Ovis aries: one gene and its partner. The protein of the gene in region 2 interacts with the protein of the main gene of each other region in a pairwise test. Links are inferred from orthologs where the notes say so. Each region holds a gene or a part of one and is shown on either strand. Other genes may lie near its edges. The genes, in order: MBNL1 and DAB1.

Region 1 (3,827 bases), about 200 Mb from region 2:
ATGGAAATCTTCATGCTATCCCCACACAGACATGTGAAATTAACAGATGTCACAAAAACAAATTTAAGATATCATATTGTTAACTGAGTTCCCAATAATGGAAAAAAAAATATATCAAGTGAAAACAGAATTATAACATTCTCTCACCTCAACTGTATAGTATTGATAATTGGTATCACTGCCGATTGGATTTGGAGATCCCTCCCACCTCGAAATGCAATCCCCCCCTCTTTTTTGGAATGATTGGTTCATTAAGTTCTAAGAGAGAATAATAATTACATTGAGTTCAGGTGTTAAAATTTATTAGGAAAAAAAATTAGTTAGCACACATGCTACAGTTGCCATATCAGAAAAACGTGGGTCTTCACGTTTCTAGGACCACATAATATTGCATATTAAGTCAGTGACAGCAATATTCCAATTATTGCAAATTTCAACATGCATTTAAATACAAAATTACTATATCAAAATTAATACCAAAACATCTTTTGAAACTTAGTTATGATATTAATCTCTTAACATTTTTGTGGATAAGTGTGAGTAAAGGTTATAAAAGTCATATGTCACGTATACCCTCCCCCCCAAATTCAAACAAAAAAATAAATAAATATGCCTAGAATCATAGGTTATCTACCTACACTGTTCAGTAAACATTAAATCTGTGTGACCACCTAGAGTTTATAAAATTTAGCTTTTTTCCCTAAAAAGTCCATGGAGTTTCTGCCTCTCCTGATTAGTTCTCTGATGAGACTTCCAGATCTATGATATGGATTCACCACTGTCAGAATTTTCCTAGCATCTGTAACTACCAAATAGTTTCAATTCATAGTAAGTTTAAAAGAATAACGAAGGCTCCTTTTCAAGAAAGAACTATATAGATTCTCTTTAATGAGAGAGGGAAGGGAAACACTTACTCAAAATTAAAGATGATTTACACCGATTTTCAAAATGACTATTAGTGTTAAAAAGGTAGCCTGAAAATGCACCTAGACTATACTGATGAGTTTAATGGTCATTTTTAAAAAGACCATTACACATCTGCAAGTCACAGGATTTAATTTGAAGAGAATTTGAGGGGTTAAACATTCTGTCATGTCAATTTTCACATGATTTAGCCAGAAGATGAGTAACTTTATCATGTAAAAATTGTTCCTAGGGAAATTGTTTCCAAGGTTTGACTGATATTTTTGCTGGAAAATGCTAGGCAACTGATATTGTTACCTGTGCTCACTTGATCTAGTGTAATCACCAATTTAACACTGAAACTGAGCACTAAGCAAGACAAACTTGAGGAATGAGAACTAAGAACATACTTACCACGGGTTGTAATGGGGCACCAGGCATCATGGCATTGGCTAGTTGCATTTGCTGGGCCAACATGGCCATGTTCTTCTGCTGAATCAAGTTATTGCGCCCATTTATCTCCAATTGTGTTTTTAAGTGTGGGGGTGGATGAAGATATTTGCAGTTCTCCCTGGAGCAACGACCCTAAGTAATGAAAGCAGAAAACATCATCTTAAAAAAATAAAATCTACAAATCTTAAAAAAAAAAATCATAATAATATAAACCTATCTTGAATCTACCATGAGTCTTTCACACAGTGTATTATCCAATGACTTTATAACAGATTTGAATAAGTAATCAATTCTATCAAAATGAAGTATTAAGACATTTCAAAAAAGTTTCAAGCTTAGAGAAGTTCCTGTATTAAAATATTAGCTTTAATATTTCTAGATCCAAGTTTAAAAATCTACAAACTGCTAGGGTAATATTAACACAGAATATCAAATAAAAATCTTAGGCTCCTTCCTTAATGTCTCCTGGCCAACTTTAACGAACCCAAAAGAATCATGAAGTTTTACCATCTATTTTTACTTGTACTGAGTTGTAAGGAAACAAACTTACAGGACTCAAGGCACACTGTATCTTCAGTAAAACACCTTTACACATATCTCATAAGTTAAAATTACTACTAAGCTTTATGAGTCTAAATATTAAGAAATGTATAGATGAAAGGGAGGAAATTCCTACATATTTCCTGCTGAATACAGAGATCAGCAAGCACAATGAAATATTGGTGAAAAAATGCAGCCTTTAACCTTTCAGCAATAAATCTAGTCTCCATTACCTAAGAATTATAAAACAACAGGAACAGATATGTTTACCCTTCAAAAACTTATGGCATAAAATAGAGAAACAAAATAAGTTACTATAAACTAATAAATATGAATATGTTTGTTTTGGGATGATTCTTCTCATCAAAATATATATAAAAGGCTGTATTATGAAATATTGTCAGGGACAGACCCATTTATTTCAATACAGTATTGTCAAGTCATATCGATAGCAACTTATCTCATTAATTATTACCTCATAATCTCTTTCACCAATAAATTTAGTTAGAACTGTTTGTGAGGGTAAAAAAGGACTTAATTGAAGCGATCAACCACTTTCTTGAACTTTCTTTGATTTTTCTAAGAAAAATCTACCTGTTTACCATAATTTGACCTTGTACTGTAAACTGACTCAGAAAACTGATGTTTGTGAGAAAATCTGTCAGAATTCTAATTTTAATGACCTATTTCTGGCTTATGTTGATTAAGTTTTTTGGAATAAGTTTATCCACAGGCTAATATCAGAGGATACTACCTGCTCTGTTAACAAGCTTTATGTAATAAAGCATTACTAATAATATTTCAAGTTAGGAGGCAGTGGAGAACCGTGGACAAGAGCAAGGACATTACAGGTGTCAGCACGTGGGGCAGAGGTTGAGCTCGATCACTCATCAGCTACATGAGCTGCATAAAAAACTAACTTCTGTAAGCCTCAGGCTTTTCATCCACTTCAAAACTGCTATATAACCTACGTGCATGTGTGCTAAGTCGCTTCAGTAGTGTCCAACTTCTGCGACGCTGTGGACTGTGGCCCACCAGGCAAGAACACTGGTTCCAGGCGATCTTCCCTACCCAGGGATAGAACCCCAGTCCCTCATGTCTTCTGCATTGGCCCTATATAACCTACGCTATAGAGGGAAACCCTATATCACCTACGCTACACAGGGAAACCTTATATAATCTATGCTATATAGGGAAACTCTATATAACCTATGCTATACAGGGAAACCCTATATCACCTACGCTACAGAGGGAAACCCTATATCACCTACGCTATACAGGGAAACCCTATATCACCTACGCTATACAGGGAAACCCTATATAACCTACGCTCTACAGGGAAACCCTATATAACCTATGCTATACAGGGAAACCCTATATAATCTATGCTATATAGGGAAACTCTATATAACCTATGCTATATAGGGAAACCCTATATAACCTACACTGTAAGTTTATTTTGAAGATTAAAAAAGATAATGTATATGTTACATCCTCGGCGCTGTCCAGCACTCTCAGAGGAACAAGGGGAAAGTCAAAAACTGCTGTTACCACCACCCCCAGCACATTTTAAATTGTATACACATTAGCAGAAAAACAAAATATTGGCATGAAAGTAACTTTTATACCATTTATCACAGTTATCGATACATTCACAAGTAAAGTAACATGTACATATCTCTGATTTATTCCATAGAAAATCACCATGCCTGATACCTGTTGAGATCATGAGCACGTTATTAGCTTAAAAGCATCTGGATGCAAAACAACCTTCACAAAAACAACACTTCAAGTCACAAGACAAACCATGGTGAATGACTGGCTAACCACGGATGACACATGGTCTAATATCAGAAATATCTGAGTTTGGGTATTTTAGAGAAAATCTACTTTTTCAGTACAAAGAATAACTTGGTTCTAAGAAAAATTAT
Region 2 (3,827 bases):
CGGTGTGCCGTAACAATGATGATAAAAATACTTCCTACTCTCTGAGGGTTGTGATGTTTTAGCACCTGTGCCACTGAACGCTTTTTATGATCCTTAGCCTGAGATAGTTGAGGAAACTGAGACACAAAGAAATAAAATGACTTGCTCATTGGCACAGACCTAAGAAGTAATCAAGCTGCTCTCTGGAGTCCTAGTCCAAAGTGTCCTGCTACAACAACTTATTTTTTTTTTCCCCTTTGACTATGCGAAGCTTTGAGCCAAATTCTGGCTGCTGCTCTACCTGTTGTGGGAGGCTTTACGACTGCTCTATCTCTGGCCTGCATTTTCTCCTGATCTTAATTTTCTAATTTTTTTATCCTTGTTCCTAAAAATTTTTAAATGCACATACTCCATTCAGTTTTAGTTCAATAAGCCATACCCAAAACTATGTATCAGAGCTGGGATATACATACATGAACACATGAAGGAGCAAATGAACAAAAACGGAAGAAGCAGGGTGACATGCTAGACAAACAACAGGCTTGTATTCAATTCGACCCTTTTGTCTATTTTCTTTGTCTTTGAATCTCACTTTCATTATCTTCAAACAGGTCTAATGAAACTTTCCATAAGCATTGTTAGGAGTATAGAAATAACACATGTAAAGCATGGAGAAGGTACATATAACTGGCATCTAATAATGGGAGGCTATTGTTAGCAGCAGTAGTAGTGATATAAACAAAGAGGCCTGTTGAATGCAACTGAGCTGGTTTCTCTGACACCAGAAACAAGGCATCAGTTGTTCTCAGGGGTTTATGTCTCCAGAGAAGGACACTCACGTGAGTTGGTCGATGGCGTGGTAGAAGTCACAGGCGTCAAGTTCAACTGGGAGATGTCAAAGTCATCACAGTCATCCGTATCCTGTGCCACCCCGACTTTGTTGAAGTAACTGGAGAAGGCCTCTGAGGTGCAGGTGAGGGAGGGCTGGTCGGGTTTGCGGGAGGGTACAGGCGGAGGCTGGGCCATCTGGAAATCCTTAAACATTTCTTTTCCCATTTTCTGCCTGGGCTTGTCGGTCTGTGGACTTGACCTGGCGGAGTCACCCGTGGCTGGGACGGTTGCAAGGGGGGTGAGGGGACCTTGGAACATGGCAGCTGGCAAAGGCATAACAGTTTGTGTGGGCATGAAGGCGGCTGGCGGAAACTGCCCGGCCACGGCGGGCCAGGGCTGCTGAGTGGCAGGGAAGAGACCCGGCTGGCCCCATGCGATGGGCTGAGCCCCCGGCATCACCTGAGCGACTGGCGGCTGAGCACCCATGGCGATCTGCTGTTGGACAAGGGGCTGCTGGCCCCAGAAGGATGGGAGGACGGCGCCCATAGCAACATAACCTGCAGGTGTGAAAAAGAAGAGTCAGGAGCCCTGGGCAAGAAGCATTCAGGGAGTCAAGTGATTGGCAGGAAGGTATCAGGTGACTACTCAGAGTCAGGCTGTGTGCTAGGATGCAAAGGTGAGTATGAGGAAGTCCCTGCTCTCCCGGGGTCTGCCTTCTACAGCTGTGGTCAGGAAAAACTGCTCTAAGGAGATGACTTGTAGGTAGAAACTAGAATTCAGTGAGGGAGCAAGCCAGGCAGGCATTTGAGGGTAATAAAAATAATCGTATAGTTCTCAGAGTAGTTATAGTCTTTCCATTCTTAAAGGTTTCTGACATCATACAGCTCAGGAACCAGTGTGCTCAGTGGGAAGGGCAGAGTGCTGGAAACAGGCACATCTGGGCTTGAATTTTGCTTCCCCTTCCTGCTAGACTGAGGGCATCCCCATTGCTTCTGCTAAGAGTCAAGCTCTTTGTTGCAAAATTGGGCTACAACATCTTCCTTCTCCACATCAAAACCATGTGCAAGATGATTGAGACCAAGGTTAAAATTCAGACTGCCACTTCTTATCTGTGGAATCTGGGGAGAGCTTAAGAAGGTCTCTAAGCCTCTCCTTATCTGTAAAATGGGCAGAAAATACCTTCTGCCTCGTTGGGTTAAAGACTGAGATTATACATTTAAGATATAGAGAACTGTGGCTGACATAGAATGAATATTGAGTAAATGTTAACCATTAGTATGATTTGAATCACAGCCTATAAAATTACTTAATACCTTCCTTGATATGTAAAAAACATGCAATAAAAGGTAGCTCTAGGGTATTATTATATATTATTGTTATGCCAATCTTAGAGATTAAAAAATGTAGCTTAGTAATCTATTTAGGAATACCACATATAGGGGCACAGATGGGTCACTGCAAAACTCCAGGGGGTGTGCTCACTTACATTACCATAATATTTTGCTACAGTGAGATATAATCATTTTAAAAGGAGTACAAGTGATACTCTATACCATAATAACAGAATCAACATAAATTCCACTTATTAAGTGCTTACAACATGTTAGGTTAGTATTAGGTGCTACGCGTCTTCACAAAATCCTTGCAGGGTCGGTATCATTATCTCCATTTTAGGGATAAGGTGATTGGTGCTCAGAGAGGAAAAGTAACTTGCACAGGGTCACACAGTGGACATTAAGCTGAAATCAGGGTCTGAACTGAGGTTATCTGTCTCCAAAGCCAGCATTCTCTTCACTGCCCCCTACTACCTCAGCCAAATGGCCAAGGCTGACTTCTGATCTTAACACAGTCCATAAAGTTGGTCCAACCATCAGATGTTTTAGCTTACTGTGGGCCTGGAGGAGACTCCCATGTCCTTCCAGGGGTTCCCACCCTTCTCAGGGTGCAATCAAGCCCAGGAGACAGACGACCAGTCCAGGCAGAGTAGAAGATGAAGACTGATCTCTCAAAATAAGCATTTTTATGGCTGTCAGAAGGAATTTGCAGGCAGAGAACGGTGAGAACAGGAAAAAAAAGAGGGTGGATGTATGGTATCCTAGCAGCTTCCAAAATGACCTGGGTTGTGTTGATGACTGGTGAACCCAGAGAAATGACACATGGGCTGCCTCACCCATGCGCTAGCCTCTGATCCACCTGCCCTTCAACTGATTCATAAGAGAGGGAGCCAACTTTCAAAGCCAGTCCATTTCCTTACAAGGTGAGAGGAGGCTCCAGAAGGGGTGGACACAGAAACACAGGCTTCCTGCTAATTAATTGTGTTCAGTACTTTTATGGAATGAGGCAGGAGTGGCAACAAACAAAACAGACAATATCCTTATCAGATCACCTTGGTCCTAGTGCAAGGAAATGAGAACACATACTAACACTCTACTTTTCTTCTCTGAGCACCTATCACCTTATCCCTAAAAGGAGATAATGATATCGGCCCTGCAGGGATTTTGCCAAGCACCTAATACTATACCTAACATGTTGTAAGCACTTAATAAGTGGAAATTATATTGCTTCCGTTATTATGGTATAAAGTATCACTTGTGCTCCTTTTAAAATCATTGTATCTTTCTGTAGCAAAAAGTGAAGAGGCTTGGTGCTGACAGCTTGCTTAGGTTGCCTGCCATAGAATAATACAATGACTTGAATGTAACAACAAAGAATTCTGCAACTTCGCTTTTCTTATTTTCCCATTGACTTTGACCGGGTTCAATGGGTCTTGGTGGGAGCTCTACTGCCTCCTAGGGGATGATTAGAAAATTCCTGGGGTGTGTTTTGATTGTCAGGAAAACTTGGTGGGGTTGGGGGCAGTACTGACATTTAAGGGCCAAGAGCATTGAACTAGACCTCCTATAATATGGGAGATAACGTGCATGACAAAGAATTTGTGATTATTTGAGTGTAGTTTGAGTCATGTGGAAATTTAAAGTTTCTTTGCACAGTTTTAATTCACTTAATTTTTCAGAAAT

What was found.
Region 1: the proteins of DAB1 (region 2) and MBNL1 interact in binary tests that used the Homo sapiens proteins (3 or more experiments, as listed by UniProt). The link is inferred for Ovis aries from reciprocal best matches to the Homo sapiens genes DAB1 and MBNL1.

The regions. Positions count from the first base shown.
Region 1 is NC_056054.1:236,119,966-236,123,792, forward strand, and holds part of MBNL1 (muscleblind-like protein 1), read right to left. Parts: intron 1,489-3,827; coding exon 1,318-1,488; intron 259-1,317; coding exon 148-258; intron 1-147. UniProt on the Homo sapiens protein: Mediates pre-mRNA alternative splicing regulation. Acts either as activator or repressor of splicing on specific pre-mRNA targets. Inhibits cardiac troponin-T (TNNT2) pre-mRNA exon inclusion but induces insulin receptor (IR) pre-mRNA exon inclusion in muscle.
Region 2 is NC_056054.1:31,626,054-31,629,880, forward strand, and holds part of DAB1 (disabled homolog 1), read right to left. Parts: intron 1,368-3,827; coding exon 819-1,367; intron 1-818. UniProt on the Homo sapiens protein: Signaling adapter of the reelin-mediated signaling pathway, which regulates the migration and differentiation of postmitotic neurons during brain development.